Linked DNA regions of Drosophila melanogaster. The protein of the gene in region 2 purifies or fractionates together with the protein of the main gene of each other region. This does not show direct contact. Each region holds a gene or a part of one and is shown on either strand. Other genes may lie near its edges.

Region 1 (5,991 bases), on a different chromosome or scaffold from region 2:
CCTAATGTCTATCTGCGTTCTCTGATGGACATGACCAGAGAGCGGACGCAACTTCTGGCTGTGGACTCCAAGGAGCGCATTCACCTAATTAAACCGGCCATTTCTAGAATTTCCGAATGGTCCACAATCACACCCACTCATGCTGCCAGTAACTGTAAGATAAATGCCATATCCGCCTTTAACGACGAACAGATTTTCGTTGGCTATGTGGACGGAGTGATAATAGATGTTATTCATGATACAGCGCTACCTCAGCAGTTTATAGAGGAGCCCATTGATTACCTCAAACAGGTCAGTCCCAACATTCTGGTGGCGTCGGCACACAGTGCCCAGAAGACTGTGATATTCCAGCTGGAAAAGATAGATCCGCTGCAACCCAATGACCAGTGGCCATTGATGATGGATGTTAGTACCAAGTACGCGTCCTTGCAGGAAGGACAGTATATCATTTTGTTTTCCGACCACGGAGTCTGTGTGAGTGTTCTTAATTGAAGTTTATGCGAGTAAAAGTGCAGTATTTGATTTCAATATTTACCAACAGCATCTGGATATAGCTAACCCATCTGCATTCGTGAAACCAAAGGATTCGGAGGAATACATTGTCGGCTTTGATCTAAAGAACAGTCTTCTCTTTCTGGCCTACGAAAACAACATCATCGATGTGGGTTTGCTAAACATAATATCATTAAACAATTATCAATTATTTCCAACGACAGGTATTCCGTTTAATATTCAGCTGTAACCAACTAAGGTACGAACAGATTTGCGAAGAAGAGATCGCCCAGAAGGCCAAGATCAGCTATTTGGTAGCCACGGATGATGGTACCATGTTGGCTATGGGTTTCGAAAATGGCACTTTAGAGGTATACATACGTCTTACAAATTCGTTTCATAATTATTTCCTGCTAATTATACATTTCCCAACAGCTCTTTGCCGTTGAAAACAGAAAAGTTCAACTGATCTACAGCATTGAAGAGGTCCACGAGCACTGCATCCGGCAATTGCTATTCTCGCCATGTAAGTTGCTCCTGATCAGCTGCGCGGAGCAGCTGTGCTTCTGGAATGTGACGCACATGCGCAACAATCAATTGGAGCGCGAGCAAAAACGGCGGCGCAGTCGACGCCATAAGCAGCACAGTGTTACACAAGAGGATGCTGTGGATGCGGCGCCCATTGCAGCGGACATCGATGTAGATGTGACATTCGTTGCCGACGAGTTTCATCCGGTGAACCGAGGGACTGCGGAACTGTGGCGGAATAAGCGCGGCAATGCCATCCGTCCGGAACTCCTGGCCTGCGTTAAATTTGTGGGAAATGAAGCTCGTCAGTTCTTCACAGACGCCCACTTCTCCCACTTTTATGCCATAGATGACGAGGGTGTCTACTACCATCTGCAGTTGCTGGAGTTAAGCAGACTTCAACCTCCACCTGACCCAGTTACGTTGGATATTGCCAATCAGTATGAAGACTTAAAAAATCTTCGAATTCTCGACAGCCCACTTATGCAGGATTCGGATAGCGAGGGTGCTGATGTAGTTGGCAACCTGGTTCTGGAGAAGAACGGCGGAGTGGCGAGGGCGACACCAATTCTGGAGGAGGCCAGTTCATGACGCCAGAAGTGCGTCCCTAGGCGGCGCACGAAACAGGAAAGTCCAAACTACAACATGGCATTTATAGGATTACTGCTCTACTACCTGATGGTTTTGCTCTTCTACCTCCTGGGTCCGGATTTGTCCTAGGCAAACATTAGTTGTTGGCGCTTACATTTGCGAATGTATGCAGCTAACCAAGTATGATATCTCAGAGGGCGGTGGGTGCGTTGCCCTGCCTTTGTTTGTCAACGCGAGTAACCGCCACCAAATAAACGACATTTCACGAAAAACACAGAACGCGGTTTTGTTGTCTGCTCTTTGTGCTGTCCGTATGTATGTATGCATGCATGTCTGTGTGGGTGGTTGTGCTGTGCGTTTGTTTTGATTTCTGCCAGGCACGCCAGATCAAGTGTTGCAAAAGCATTGGTCCCGGGACAGTGCTGCTAAGTTCGTGTATGGATATCAGTGTTGCGGTCCAATAAATAGGTACGTATCTGGATTGTGGCTCGTCTACTTCTAAGCTGACTTAAATTAATAAAAAGGCTTTGGCCTCAATGTTTGCATTTTGGTTTTATTAAAAAGTTCAAGTCAAGTTTGGGCTATAATTTTTATAAGCTAAGATTTACACACATTGCCTTAATGAACACACGTACGAAATATATTAAGAAGCATTTAAAACAATGAATAAAAACCAATAGCTAACTTGTATCATCGGCAAGGTACCTTGTTTGTACCAGTTTTAGGTACTGAATTCCGTACCGAACTAAAGCCCTTTTCAACACTGGCAGATATGCGCTCTTTCTCGTCATTTCATTCCAATTTTCAAGCTGAAAAGAAAAGAACGTCGTGTGCGTGTTGATGGCGCGATAAGTGAAAAAAATAAAAACATTTTTCGTGTCTTTATGGAATACAATACGAGTGCGTTTTAAGTAAGTGCGTGGCGAAAGTGGCGAAGCAGAGAAAGAATGATGCGCAACTCGCTACGCGTGAGCTCACTGCAGCAACAAAAGCAATAAATAAAAAAAGTGACTACATGCATTCCGCGCACCCACACACTGGCGTAAAATTCATACATATTTAAGTGCATTTGTGCACGCTCGTCAATGGCAAAATCGCGAGCTTGCAACTGCCAGGAAATATTGTACGCAAATTTGTCTAAAAATGATCTCTAACCCATCGCACGCAGACAGACGCAGCGCGCTTATAGGGGCATCGAATGTATGACGGCATATGTGTATTTATTTTCCACACTCGCCCATCGGTGGCAGTGAGTGTTAGTGAGCGACGCGCGTGTGTGAGTGCGTCGAGTGCTGAACTCTTGAACTGCAGTACATGGCTTTAATTCGATTTTAGGGATGTGCGGCTTGACGGAGCGGGAAGCGATCGAATTAATGAGTAAATGATAAACAACTGGACGCTTTCCGAGGCTTCGAATCCCTTGTTTTTCTCTAACAAGTGGCTTGCGGCAGCCATATTGTTTTGCCTTTGCGTTTGCGGCGATGATCGCACTCGCACCCCCACACACACTCAGTCAGTCAGTCAGTCCAGTTTGTGTGTATACATATTTATTCAATTAAATATTTGCGTTTAATTAAAAAGGAGTGAAACTGCAAGAATTGATTTATTTAGGTAAACAAACAGTGAGATCAGTGCAAATTCAAAGAAAGAGAGGGAGTCTTTGTTTTTCTTTTTGGGTTTTCGTCACGCTAATTGAACACAAGCGATTAATTGAACAATCAGCTGTTCTAATGGAAAATACGCAAATCTGGAAAGGATCGCTGGAATTTTCCTGCTTGTGTGTCCGCTCTGACCCATTAGTATAGCATTAGTATTTCAATTTTTCGGCCAAAAACTTGTTTTCCCCCAACCCCAAGTCGTCATCCATTAAATGTTTCGTGAAAACTAGTCAGCAAAAAGCACAACAATAAAACCAGCAACAACTGCTGCCTGCGAGTGACAGAGAAAGCAAGAGATTACGAGAGAGAGTGAGAGAGAACGAGCGCGGCGAGAGAGCCATAGGCATTGGAATATGTATGGCTTGCGCGTGAGTGTGTGGGTGTGCTGTTCAGTTATCTGTGTTGGAATAAAAACAATGAAATTGCAAGGAGATTGCTGCCTGCATTTGAACCCTCTCCGATCCGCCCCATCCCCCATAACCCTTCACCACCCACTCAAAAAAAAAAAAAAAAAATGCAAACAAATATTTTAATGTACATGCATTAATGCCCGAAATGTCTTCAAACGAATTTTGTGTGCCCACAGGTTTAAGTGAAAAGTAGCAGTGCAAAATATATATACACATATCAAAACCCATTGGAATAGTGCAACCAAAAAATCATAAAACAGAACTAAAGCAACGAAAATCGAGGCAATTAAATCACTTCTGGATTCATTTCGGCCCGTTTTTACTAGCTAATTTAAAAATAGCTGCCGAAAGCATTCCGCAACCACTTCTGGTGACTGGCCCCACACCAATGCGAACAATACTCCACGGGATCCTCCGACTTCGAGTGGCTTACGCATGCCTTTGAATTTGCATCTTCGCACCCGCACAGCAGCCAGCAAAAGCCATCGCAGGAAACCCTATGGATGACCCATCAATCAAAAAACGGTGAGTTCAACTGCTCCACTGTCTCCATGCGCTACAATTTCCCCACTTTCCACTTTCCCACTGGTTAAATTGCTCGCATTGCGATAAGAATTTATCTTTTGTCCTCGACAGACTTAATAATTGTTATTTTCGTTCTTATTCGCAAGCAACAGTCGATTATACACATACTAATAAATATACCAAATATACATCATAGAGGCAGGTTTAATGCAAATTTCAAAGGCAGTGTCAACTGGTTGTGGGAATTGAATAATTTTAATGAAATCTCGAAGAAGAAGAAGATATTAGTCACACAAAAAGTTAAAGCTCTTATTATATCAAATCGGAAGAATTTTTACTCATAAAAGAAGCTTTCACACATTCTTGACCTAAGTGCTTATATTAACATATTAGGGCTACCCTTAAGAACTAGCAACTTATGTAAGATCGTTGCCTAAATAGTGTAGCAGCCTTTAAGAATCCTCGAAATTATATTAAAATAATAGGTATTTTACTACATTTTAAATAGTTCTTAAGCCAGTTACAGATGATTTAACTGTGCATTAGATCACCGATCAACTTTTGTAAGCAATTACTAATTCATTTGACCCGTGATTAGTCAGCAAACGTTGTTTGAAAATAGCCAATTGACGAGGTGAAACTTTGCGCCGTCTCACAGTTCTGAAACGCACTGTGTTTGCTGATTGTTTATACCAATAGTTCCCCCAAGCTTGGGGTTGTTTTTGTGCGGTTTCGACTGCCAAACGGATGACTTAATACATATATACGCTCACCAACTTAGGGAGCGGCCAGTTTTCACATTTTACCATTTATTTCTTTTATTGCCACCTAGGGAAGTTTTAGCCCAAATAGATTGGCGAAACCAGTGACTTTCTAAGCATGCTTGTGTGTGCATTTGGTGGTGGTGTCTTAACCACGAATTGTATAATATACCTATGCAAAATGATTTAAATCTATTAACAGCTCACCACCACTGGTGTTGTCGTCTGATTTGTGGGCCTTAACAGGTTTTATGCCAGCCCGTCAACGGGCTGCAGCAAGATTTCCTCAAAATTAGGCAGCTAAATTTAGACAGAAAGAGAATTCACTTGGATCAAACGGAGAGACATGCTATTGACATGGGCCAATCAGTCAAAAAAGTTAATGTAAACATTTGATTTTTGGAGGTCTTGCCTGCCCGCCCGGCTGTTATGGAAATAACTCATCATAATGATGAATTCACCAGGCGGGAAATGAGCTTTTATTATATTCCGGTATATGAACGGGTCCGAAGGTGGTACACACTGTATACTGGGACATACATATGTACATATGTATGTTTATCCATTCCATTCACATGCAAAATGATCAAATAAACGGCAATTAAAGTGTATCTATTCTTCTGGCTGATTTAATTTTAGCTCAATTAAAAGAGACCCACCAGCGACGACAAATCGCTTGGCTTTGGCTTTGGCCGTGACTTTCGTTACATGTTTGTCGCATTCACAGCGAGGTCTTGATTAGCCACTAATCTAGCTATCTGCTCTTTAAAACCCAGCATACCACATGGGAATCGTTGGCGAAGAGCAGAAGCAGTTCCGCCATGAAATTATTCAGCATTGATTACCTCTCATAGATGATTGAGCTGGCAATCCGCTGGTTCTATTCAATGCCTGAAGTCTAGTATTTTAAAGGGTATACAAACTAACTAGCTAATCAACCATCATGGTTTAGTAAAGGAACAATAAAAATGAATTAATTGTAACCACAGAGACGGTAGTCACCAAATCAGTGTGTATAAAAAGGCG
Region 2 (6,363 bases):
CGACGACACGGGCATCGCCATCGTGGACACCACGGGCCGAGTGATTGCCAATGTGCTGGAGTCGCAACAGGAGTTCCACACCCGGTGAGTGCTCACATCTCCGCATGCGGTGCCCAATGATGAACTGAATCGATTGCAGCTATGGAGGCATTATTCCGCCCAGGGCCCAGGACCTTCACCGCGCCCGCATCGAGTCCGCCTACCAGCGCTGCATGGAGGCGGCGCAATTGAAGCCGGACCAACTGACGGCCATCGCGGTGACCACGCGTCCCGGACTGCCGCTGAGTTTGCTGGTGGGCGTGCGCTTTGCACGGCACCTGGCCCGTCGCCTGCAGAAGCCCCTGCTGCCCGTTCACCACATGGAGGCGCACGCGCTGCAGGCCCGCATGGAACATCCGGAGCAGATCGGCTACCCCTTCCTCTGCTTGCTGGCCAGCGGCGGCCACTGTCAGTTGGTGGTGGCTAACGGCCCCGGTCGCCTTACGCTTCTTGGCCAAACACTGGATGATGCGCCCGGCGAGGCCTTTGACAAGATCGGTCGGCGACTACGCCTGCACATTCTGCCGGAGTACCGCTTGTGGAACGGAGGACGGGCCATTGAGCATGCCGCCCAGCTGGCCAGCGATCCGCTGGCCTACGAGTTTCCGCTGCCACTTGCCCAGCAGCGGAACTGCAACTTCAGCTTCGCCGGCATCAAGAACAACTCCTTCCGGGCCATCCGAGCGCGCGAGCGGGCAGAGCGGACACCTCCGGACGGAGTCATCAGCAACTACGGCGACTTCTGCGCCGGCCTGCTGCGCTCTGTCAGCCGGCACCTGATGCACCGCACGCAGCGGGCAATTGAGTACTGCCTCCTGCCGCACAGGCAGCTCTTCGGTGACACCCCGCCCACACTGGTCATGTCCGGCGGTGTGGCCAACAACGATGCCATATACGCCAACATCGAACATCTGGCCGCGCAGTATGGCTGCAGGAGCTTCCGTCCATCGAAGCGGTACTGCTCCGACAACGGCGTCATGATCGCCTGGCACGGCGTTGAGCAACTGCTGCAGGATAAAGAGGCCAGCACGCGCTACGACTACGACAGCATTGATATCCAGGGCAGCGCGGGATTCGCCGAGTCGCACGAGGAAGCTGTCGCTGCGGCGGCCATAAAATGCAAGTGGATACAGCCACTGGTTTGATCACTAGCCCCTGTTGTGTTTTATACATTCTTACATAAAGTTACAGATGAATCCTTGTTCGTTGTTGAATCCTGTTTGTCTGATTTACAAATTAATAATATATTCATAATATTTTTGAGTGTGTGAGTTCTTTGGCGCTGCAGAGTTCCTACTTGCTAAGAGCCACCTTGCTAGCTCTGGTGGCTTCCGAGATCTCGACGTTTATGCTGACGAACAATAGGACATGGCCAGATAATCAAAATATAGTTTATAGTAATGGAAAAGCTTTGCCTCCACCTGTTGGCCACTTTTCCAGGAACGTAATAACTGATATGACGACAGGTCTTTATCACGCGAATCGATATAGAAATAAACAACCACAAATGAATCACAAATGCTATATAAAAATCACAATTGCATTGAATTTATGTAATTTTATACATATAAAAAGTACATTTTCGCTTGTGCATCTTTGGTGGGATGTTCCCTTTTTTTTTTTCATTTCAGGCAAGACAGTGAGTGGTTTCGTTTTGGATTTCGTTTTATTATAAGATATTATCTGAAATCAATAATGTTAAATCACTAAGGTCTAGAAAAAAAATGTAAAAATTGATAATGTGTACATATAAAAATATTAAAAAATGCATTAGTTCTTATTTTCCTTTCATCTTTTGTCGTTTTTGTTTTTTTGCTGAACTACAATACAAATGTTTGTTGCTGTTGCCGTTGTTTTATTGTTTGTTATACTTTATGGATTATACATATTTAAATATATATATATATATGTATATACTTTTATATAGATTGTAGATTTCAGATGTGTGTTTGTGTTGTGGTTGCAACGCCTAGTTCGGTTCTCGCATCTCTTGCTGATCCTTTATCTCCTCCTTTAGGTTCATTTAATTTACTTTTAATCATATTTCAATACTCATACGCTTAGTTTTATTACATAATAAGCTTCACTTTCATATCTGCATGCTAGCGAATTCCATCCGACCTCCGCTGTTTAAACATTACGCGATCAGTTATCATAAATATTTAATATAATTCTCGCACGTTGCTCCTTTCGGGACAATATCGACGTGGATTCCCGCGGATTTCATCGACTGAGGCAAAACGAATAAGTGCATGGTTCTTTTCGAATCGCCCCACATTCTGTTCTGTTCTGGATTGTTTTTTTGTTTATCGTAAATGTATATTTTTTTTTTTTTTGCCTCTCCTTAATCTTTGTATATATATATAAAGAAATATATATATATATACATATATATATATATATATTTATATATAAATCATTTGTTTTCGCTATATTGATATTGTGGTTCCTCTTTTTACTTAATTCGAAAATTGCGCCAAAAACATGTTTGGGAGCAGAAATGAAGTCGGCTGGGTTTCGATTCGATTGGCTGCGATTGGATCCTGGCGGGGATTGGAGCTGAAGCTTGTGGGGCGGAAGACTGTCCCGAGTTGGGGGCAACTGCCCAGCCGCCTGGTCACAGTGGACCAAACATAGAAACCGACCAAAATACCGGGTAGGGATTAGAGCTCTGGAGGCTGGAGCACGGACACTACTGACACAGATACGCGGACGCGCGTAAGTGGAGACACAGACGGTGTGTGAGACAAAAAGAGTAGAGTGGGAGTGGGGACACAGGCGGATGGCGGCGAGGAGAAATAGCTCATGGAGTACTGGGCTAATGCAGAATAACGTAAATCAAGACCAATATATATACATATATATATATATATGTTATATATATATATATACGGCTATATATTGAATGCTTCTCGACGACGGGAGGCTGGGAAGGAGTCATTGCGATAGTAGAAAGCCAGAATGAAAGGGATACCGCGTGTGAGGAAAGCAGAATTATAAGAATTTGCACTTCCTTTTCTTTGTGGGCTCTGGTGGCTCGAGGGCGGCCAGGATGGCCTCGTCGAATACATTTTTCAGGCCCTTCTGTGTCAAGGCCGAGCACTCCACGTACTTGACGGCCTTCAGCTCCTTGGCCAGCTTCTCGCCCTGCTCCATGGTGATGGGCTTCTGCTTGTTCTTGGCCAGCTTCTCCAGCGTGCTGTTCTCGTCGCGCAAATCAATCTGTGTGCCCACCAGCAGGAACGGCGTCTTTTGGCAATGGTGTGTAATCTCGGGCACCCACTGCAAATGCAAAATGACTCACTTACAGTCTCGCCATGGCGTAGAATAGTCTTGTACGTACCTTCTCCTTGACGTTCTCGAAGGAACTGGGACTGACCACCGAAAAGCAGACAAGGAAGACATCCGTCTGCGGATAGGAGAGCGGACGCAGCCGATCGTAGTCCTCCTGTCCGGCCGTATCGAACAGGCCCAGTGTGTAGGGCTCACCGCCGATCATCACAGTGACCGCATAGTTGTCGAACACCGTGGGCACGTACTCCGACGGGAACTTGTTGGTTGTATACGAGATGAGCAGGCATGTCTTACCCACGGCTCCGTCGCCGACGACCACGCACTTGATGGTTTGCATGTTGTGCAGAGGGGTGATGACTCCTGCGGATTAGTGGGGGTTAGTTTGCCGGATTACACTGGGGGGATGACTAGTGGGTGCGGCTTCCCTGCTCCTGCTCGTACTCCTGCCAGAGTGACCGTTCGCCAGCGGCGCCTTATCAACGAGGAGGAGCGGAGCCCAGGAGAGCGGGGCGGCAGTGTGTGTGCAATGTACATATGTACATATCTGGGCAGAATGAGCGATGACTCAAGCCGAAGAAAGAACGGAAAGAATGGAAAGCAACGGCGCACACAGATAAGCCGGACGGGCATCAGAAAATTCTGATTGGACACACATACACGCAAACACTTGCGCGCAGGGGCGCAGCGAGTACGGCAGCTTGCGGTTGTGTGTGTGCGGTGCGTGTTCACTTGGTCTAATGCAGTTTTTGCTGCACTATTACTGGCTTTATGATGGTTTATTTGGTCACGGGACTGGCCGCCCAGTCAGCTGCTGGAGCTGCCCCCTGTTTTTAGCTATAGTCGGATTTTAGACGAGATTTGCAGACAAAAAACTAAAGAAATTTGGAAGCAATTATTTATCACACACGCACACTGCGGCACGGACCACACGCACATATGACACACACACACAGGCAGGCAGGCCCGTCATCGACATTTGGTTTTCATTCACTTTTCACTGGGCAAATTGAAACGCGTTGCGATCTATACGGCGGATGCTCGTTGCGGGCACCTTTTCCGCCTTACTTACAGTTATTTAAAATTTGCAACCGCTGTCGAATCCGTTTAGTTTTCCGCTTTTCTGGGCTGGGCTCGATACGTACGGAAAACTACTATTTCCTTTTGTGTTAGCGTTCTCTCTCTCCAGCGAGCTCTTTGCGTGCGAGTGACTAGCGCGGCGTTGCCATCCCGTCGCAGTACTCCCACCCGGCTTGCATCGCAATCGGTATGTTGGTATTTTCGGTGGAAGTTCTCTGTCACTGTAAGGGCTATATATCCGACCGATCGGGCAGAGCGGGACCAATATACTGCATACAGTTGCGGTAACAATAATAAGCGGATTTCGTGTTTGTCCCAGTGTTTCTGTATTTTCTGACACTTTTTCATCATTTTACTCACTAAACTTAAATACTACAATGATTTTCAATCGAAATAAAAAAATTAGTAACAGATCTAATGGATAAAATAATTGGTAAAACAAAAAAAAACCTTCAAATTTAGGCGGTAACAAAAATAGCACTGTTTCTTGTAGTTTGCCAAAACTAAATAAAAAAATTTTTTAAAAAATTTTTAAAAAAATTTAAACAAACGGATTATATCTTAAAAACTATGTTTAAAGAATCTTAATATTTGGTTGCGTGACCTATGCTGGTAATGACAGCTGGACATCGTCTTGGCATGGACTCCACCAAGTCCTGGCACTGTTTTTGAGGAATTTTGCTTCCTGAATCCTTGACCACACCCCAAAATTCCTCGTTATTATTGGGTCTGGCTTCAGAAACCCTTTTTTCACGTCCGCCCAAAGGTTTTCGATTGGATTCAAGTCGGGTGACTGAGCAGGCCATTTCATTACTCGGATCTACTTCTGCTCAAACCACTTTGAGCTTTCTTGCTCGTGTGTTTTGGGTCGTTATCCTGTTGAAATGTCCAAACCAACGGCATTTCATCCTCGGCATATGACAGTAAATGTGCTGATCCATGATGCTTTGAATCCAATGGATTGGAACTACTCCATACCATGAAAAGCACGCCCATACCATGATGCTTGATCCCCCGTTTTTTACCGACTTAAAGGTGAAGCGAGGATTATATTTAGTGGTGGACGTCGTGGTGGACGCCGAACATAAGACCGAGAGCCTTTCCCACCAAACAACACAATTTTGATCTCATCTGACCACAAAATGTTGCACCACTTCTCCATAGGCCAGTCCTTGTGTATCTTGGCATATTCGATTCGCTTTGCCACATGCTTCACAGTCAAAAGCGGTACTTTTTTGGGGCTGCACGCATTAAGGTTGTTTTGTCTTAAGCGTTTGCGAACTGTTTCCACGCTTGCAGCTATCTGAAGCTCCTTCTTCAGTTCCGTCGCCGGCTTAAAAGACTCCTTCTTGCTTTGCCAAACCAAGCGCTTGATCTCCACGTTGGACATTGAGGGCTCTCTTCGCCGTGTTTCCTTCTTTTCGACAAACAGCAGTGCTTTGCGGATCATTTTGTTTGAACAACCGACAATGCGACCAATTTCAGCGTAGGTTTTACGTTCAGAAATCATGTTTTTAATCAAATTTCTTTTTTCGACGGTACAATGCTTTCCGCGACCCATGACTAGAGAATTTTTTGTCTTCGTTTGGAAAAAATTCAATTAAAACCTTTATTGCAACTCCTTTTTTCAAAATTTGTCGAAAAAAAAACCCAAAGCAATCACTCCTATTAATTGTATTCAGCAAATACGTGATCGGTGCTATTTTTGTTACCACAGCAAGTGCCCAAAAACAAAAAGAACCGTTACATTGAGAGAGTAAAAATTTCTTGCTCAGAGAGACAACATATGGTTCTTATTATTCATGCAATCTGACTTAAAAAAATAAAACATTTAATTATTTTTTTTGGTAAATCAACTTTCCACCTGCAGTAGTGTTATTATTTTAACCGCAGCTGTATTCATCGTGTCATCGTGAAGTAATTGTTGGGTATAAAATATTCTCACTTGGCGCT
Region 3 (5,888 bases), on a different chromosome or scaffold from region 2:
GAAGTGGATGCTGGCTTCCTTGGCCGTGTTCATCTGAATGTCGCAGGCGGTGCACTCAAAGCGCCGCTCCGCCACATGGGAAGCGGAATGGACAAGCAGCTCGGCTATGTCAGCGAAAATGTACTCGCAAAACTCGCACTGCAAAACACTTCCCAAGATCAGGCTGCTAAACATTTCCTTCTTCGGTGGGTTTGTGTTTTGATTGCTCGTTGCAAATGCGGGATCGTTGTCTATCAGCATCTCGCCATCCAGCAGCAGCTCATTGAAATCTGCTCTATTGGAGGGTACTTGGGTCATTGGACTTTGACGCATCGTTGAATGCTCCGAATCGTGAATAAGGCCGTGTCTAAAAGCCACCTGCGGATCATAGAAGATGCGGCCACACGAGTTGCACTTAACCACCACATGCAGTCCGGCAGCCGGAATCGTATGTGGTTGCTCGCTGGTTTGCGAAGGGATCAAGTCCAGGGCATGCTTCTCCATGTGGCGCACCAGCCCAGAGGCGTGGACAAATTTGCGGTCGCACATGGTGCACTCGTTGGGACCCTTGGCCGCGTTTTTGCGCGAGCTTTCGATGCCTGTGGCCAGATCGTACTTCATCTCATCTTTGATGTAACGGCGCAGACGCACTTGGTTCTCCCGAATTACCCGCTCGCTAGCCGGTTTGCTTAGCGGAGCCGGAGGAGCAGATACAGTAGGCACAAGATGTGGCTTCTCCTGCTGAGGCACCGCCACCTCGATCGGCTTCGCTTCACAGGAATGATTTTGAAAGGCCACGGCATCGAACTGGACCAAACATGTTGGACACTTTATACGGTTGACAGTGGACGCAGAGGAATTGGAACGAGATCCTAAATAATGTAGGCAATACTATAAAAACTTATCCATGCAAGTGAATCTATTCGTATACCATGAAAGACCGATTGCTCAGTGGTCATCTTGCTGCTGGTGACGCCGGCCAAAAAGTCGCGAATCTTCATTTGCTCCGCCTGGGGATCGAAGCCTTTCTTTCCGTCGGCCTCCTGCAGGATTTGCTTGAAAGCCGGATCCGCCAATGTTCGCTCCACTACAACATCCGTGGGCATTGGTAAGGCGCCCGCTGGCCCCACGGCGAAGAATCTGGACAGCTCCTCATGGCTGACAATCCGCTCTAAGCCGCCAGTACTCTCGTTGGTGGCCAGCACTGTGGCTCCGGGTTGCAGGTCGTCTGGCGTCAACTGCTGGTCCAACTCGACTTCGATCTCGGCCAGCGTATATTCACCCGAAACTTTGACTTTCATGGCGCTAGTCCGATCGCGTATCTTTCGCAGAAAATTGCTCTCTCTCAAAAGCGATTCAAAGTTTTTAAAACTCAATGGCAGTTGGCCGAATTCGAAAAAAGTTCAAATTTGTACAGTTTCTATCGCAGGAATAATTTGTTCGGAAATTTTAACGAAACGTTTGTACTGCTGATAAGTAGGGATATGAGATTTGCTTTCTCCGTCGCTGGAAAATTGGCTCAACTGACAGTTGGCTCCAAGGCATTGGACAACTCTAAAGGGTTTCTAACAAAGACGGCAATACTAAAATGTTTGCTAAAGTAAAACATCTGACAACTTACCGATATGTTTATAACTTAAATGACCTGAGAATCAACTGAATATTATAAATACGTATATCGTAAAATATATATGTATAATATAAATGTAGTCTTTAAATTGCTTTGAATTTTAATTTCTAATATCACATAAGATTTAAAGTACATCTCAATAATGAGAAACTCAAACCAATGGGTTCGTAGTTATACATTTTGAAACTGTGTTTTTAAGTCCCTGCATATGCATTCATCTTTAAAAATAAAATGATTTATAAAGCCGTTTCCGCTTCTACAACACATTAGTCATTAGCTAATTTTTAAATTTTGGACTTACCCAACATTTTGCAGACTTCTGACAGCCAAGGCGCATATCGTAGACCGCAAAGTGTAGTTAACGCCATTTGTTTATGTTTTCCTTTGGCTCAGGCTGTCAGAGTCGGAGTCGTCGTAGTTGGCCCAGGTGATTACTGGCCGCCAGTTATCTGCATTCAGCACTTCGGTTACAGATAAGACGCCTCGCGAAATGAGTAAACGCAGTGCCTAACATGGCACACCGACGTTGTTAATCAGTCCCACAAGGTTCTCCGTGCCATTCAAACACACCAGCCGACCCGAGCCGAGCTGATCCGGTTCAGCATTTGCAGAATCCCTGCAAACAGCGTTTCCAGGTGCGCACGGTAATTGATCCTTGCTCATCGCCGCTGCCTACTGTCGTTCTAGACCACCATCTCGTTTCAATGGGCTTTCGTAATAATTATTAGCCTGTTTAACTGGTGACTGGGACCGTCGATGAGTCACGTCCGTGAAGGCCCACCGCGATCCGAATCCGAAATTGATAAAACGCCAAGTTGCGCCAGCAGTTCTTATCTGCAAATTGGCTACTAGATAATGCCGCTGGGCCCAGTGGACGCACGGCGGCAACGGGGAGAGATCCAAGACAATGCCAATGGGCGGCACCTCCTTTGCAGCCGTAATAACGCAGCTACCAACTACGTATCCGTTTTTCCAGTTCGATGGAGGATTACACATACGCCTACATCTCCGAGCCCGTGGAGTTCCGCCAGCTGGAGGGCAATGCGATTGACTTCCGCAAGACATTCGATCTGCGAGGCCAGGGCACCGACGAAATGCTTCAGTTGTACCTGCGCAAGGCAAATTTGTCCGATGATCTTGAACGTCTGCCGGCTATTGTGCGGCGCGCCTATGTCTATGACATAATTAGAAGCAATAAGGAACCCGGTTACTGGGTGGTAATATCCTGCAGCATCTCATCTTGCCAGCTTCATCAGCCGAAAGTGTCCTTGATGTTGTCCACAGTTGTCCTGAACGCAGCCGTTTTCTTCTCCTTTCAGCCACCGTCTATGCAAGTGAGCAGCGACGTCTTTGCACATCCACCGCCAGCAGTTCGTCCACCGCCTCACTACGCCGACAACGTGAGCATCAACGCCAGTCTAGACGGCATGAAGAGCTCCTCCTCCTCGAACAGCCTGGACAGGTATCTGGGCGCTCCGCCCTCTGTGGCCTTGGCGGGTCCCAGCTTCGCCACCAGCGTCTTGGTCAGCAGCAAGGGCTCCAAGTACGAGATTAGCGGACCAGTCAACTTCCAGCACGTTTCCGGCGATGTGACGCGGGATCGCACGCGAAACGCCTTCGACCTGAATGCCGATCCCAACGACAAGGTGCTGAGGAAGTACATGATGGAGCGTGGCATTACGGAGGCGGACATTAGTGACATGCGGCGCCAAGAAGTGATCAAGAAGATCATTCACTCCAATTTTACTTGGATGGTAGGTCTTGAAATTAACTGGAAGCTGTTAATATAACATTTGCCTTTTAAGCCACCAAAAAGTGATCTTCAGGCGCAGCCAAAAGTTCAAGATCATGCCAGGCCGCTGCTCTATGCCACCATTTCCACTAATAACCAGATTACTCCTCCGCCGTCTCCACCGCCGCCTCCAATAGCCACTATTTCGAGGCCAACGGAGGCACCAAACTTCTCCAACTACGCCTCGCTTACTTCACGGTTTGTGGATATCTCCGATATGGACTTACCTGCTCCTACGCCGGCTGCACCAACTCCTTTTCAACCGGCAGAGGTCGGAAGTGTGATACCCGTCCAAGTGCAGCCTCAGCAGAGTGTGAAACCTAAGGTTCCTCCACCTCCATCGGCGGTAATGGCGAAGAACACACATGGATATCCAGCGGCCATTGACATTCGTCAAGTGAGGCCATCTGTGGCGCCAAAGGTAGCGAATGAGACGTACGCCACCATATCACCGCAACGGAAAGTGGGCTCAATGCGCGTTCCACCGCCGGCGCCTCCAAAGCCAACAATAGTGCCTCATACGAACTCGACGATTTCCAACGGATCACTGTATGCTGTGTCCCCGGTGCAGTACGCGCCTGTTGCCAAGCCGGCGCCACCAGCTGCTCCTGCCAAGCCGACTTCTAGATCTTCGGCTGTCTATATGACACCACTGTCAGCGCAGAAAACCCAGATTAGTAGTACTCCGGTGCCAGTTTCACCACCGCCGCCTACAGCGGCATCCGTTGGTGTTCCACCGCCGCCTCCAGCGCCACCAGCAGGTGTTCCACCAGCACCGCCACCAATGCCAGTTTTTGGCGCGGGAGGCGCTCCTCCTCCACCACCGCCTCCATCAAGTGGCATGGCCGGCGTTCCACCACCGCCTCCGATGCAGAAATCACAGCCCAAGGCTGTTTCAGCTGCCTCCACCGGCGGAGACCCGAGGGATGCGTTCTTGGAGAGCATTCGACAAGGCGTAAAGCTGAAGGTATTAAAAGTAGACACCCATTTAAATTGGAAATCTAATCCTTCTTCGATTCTTGCAGAAAGTGGATCAGAAGGCAGCCACCATAAGTGGCATTAAGCCGCGTCCAGAACGTAAGCCGGTGACCACCGACTTTCTAAGTGAACTGAAGCTGGGAATAACACTGAGACGGGTCAAGAATCCGGCGGATAATCCGTATTCCGAGGAATCGGAGTCGCAGGCGTAACGATTTGGCGGTTAAACTTTCAACTGCGCCGCATTTTACCACACTGAACCAAGTGGCAGGGCTGCCAGACTGAGAACAACCGCCTTAATTTTAATTTTCGCAAATGTATTTATAATTTTAATATTAATCACCATGACAAATGACCATTAGCGTTTGTAAATAAAATTGTTATCGCCAGATATGATATACCTTATCATTATGCCTGACAGTAATCTATATAAAAATTCATATTGTTTTGCCAGTACAGTGCTAACTAGAAGCAATGAACCAATAAACAAAATAAGATTATTTGCATAGAGACAAAAATAACACGATATTTTTAAAGCAATAATTCGTAGCTTAATAAAAATACAAATGAATGTTAAATATCTTGTTACCTTCTACAGAAGCTTCAGATCAGTGAGCGTTCACTATTTAGAAAGAGCACTGTACATTCATTGCTACGGGTGAGGTGAGAATGCGAGGCAATCGCGCTGGATTCACTTGTGAATTGGAAATTTGATAGATAAGTTGCGCCTGGAGCACAGGTGAGACTGCACTTTTGCAAACCAACAACTGGACTAAACGCATTTCAATCGACGGGAATTAAAGAATCATCCGAATTATGCAACGCATTGCTATTATTGGAGGAACCGGCATGACCGGCGAGTGTGCCGTGGATCACGCCCTGCAGAAGGGTAGGTGACACCTTAAGACCCGGAAACGCCAGTTAAACCGTATTCTTCCTTTCAGGTCTGTCGGTGAAATTGCTATACCGCAGCGAAAAGACAGTTCCAGAACGCTTCAAGTCCAAGGTTGAATTGGTCAAGGGAGACGTGACCAACTACGAGGATGTCCAGCGCGTTATCGAGGGCGTGGATGCGGTAGCCGTCATCCTGGGCACCCGCAACAAGCTGGAGGCTACCACGGAGCTATCCCGCGGCACCGAGAACCTCATCAAGGCCATGAAAGAGGCCAAACTGACCAAATTCTCTATTGTCATGTCCTCGTTTCTCCTGCGCCCGCTCAACGAAGTGCCCACTGTGTTCCACCGCCTAAACGAGGAGCACCAGCGCATGCTGGACCTGACCAAGGCCTGCGATCTAGACTGGATCGCCATTCTGCCGCCGCACATAGCCGATGAGCCGGCCACCGCCTATACCGTCTTGCACGACGAGGCCCCCGGTCGTCTGGTATCCAAATACGACTTGGGAAAGTTCATTATCGACAGCCTGGAGCAACCGGAGCACTACCGCAAGGTTTGCGGCATTGGCAAAAGCCCCAAAAGTGCCTAGAACTATCTATCACCCAATGGGAT

Evidence for each region. The genes of interacting proteins can lie anywhere in the genome.
Region 1: the proteins of Cdc42 (region 2) and RhoGEF2 purify together in Drosophila melanogaster (affinity purification with western blotting, with the first as the bait; one study listed by BioGRID). This does not show direct contact.
Region 3: the proteins of Cdc42 (region 2) and Whamy purify together in Drosophila melanogaster (affinity purification with western blotting, with the first as the bait; 2 studies listed by BioGRID). This does not show direct contact.

What each region holds. Positions count from the first base shown.
Region 1 is NT_033778.4:17,024,818-17,030,808, forward strand, and holds the start of RhoGEF2 (Rho guanine nucleotide exchange factor 2), read left to right. Parts: upstream 1-2,372; 5' UTR 2,373-2,522; intron 2,523-3,855; 5' UTR 3,856-4,178; coding exon 4,179-4,204; intron 4,205-5,991. Other genes in the region: Dark (Death-associated APAF1-related killer), read left to right, coding at 1-474, 542-661, 717-863, 928-1,611.
Region 2 is NC_004354.4:19,695,265-19,701,627, reverse strand, and holds Cdc42 (cell division cycle 42), read right to left. Parts: upstream 4,538-6,363; 5' UTR 4,476-4,537; exon of another isoform or gene 4,403-4,475; intron 3,694-4,402; 5' UTR 3,671-3,693; coding exon 3,383-3,670; intron 3,322-3,382; coding exon 3,034-3,321; 3' UTR 1,690-3,033; downstream 1-1,689. Other genes in the region: Tcs4 (Threonyl-carbamoyl synthesis 4), read left to right, coding at 1-84, 140-1,184. UniProt on the Drosophila melanogaster protein: Regulates mbt kinase activity and is also required to recruit mbt to adherens junctions. Together with mbt and Frl, regulates photoreceptor cell morphogenesis. Together with Frl, has a role in the neuronal development of mushroom bodies.
Region 3 is NT_033777.3:9,770,676-9,776,563, reverse strand, and holds Whamy (WHAMM and JMY related), read left to right. Parts: upstream 1-2,144; 5' UTR 2,145-2,244; exon of another isoform or gene 2,245-2,253; intron 2,254-2,585; 5' UTR 2,586-2,589; coding exon 2,590-3,363; intron 3,364-3,414; coding exon 3,415-4,368; intron 4,369-4,426; coding exon 4,427-4,591; 3' UTR 4,592-4,769; downstream 4,770-5,888. Other genes in the region: topi (matotopetli), read right to left, coding at 1-851, 911-1,280; CG9471 (uncharacterized protein), read left to right, coding at 5,196-5,268, 5,324-5,865.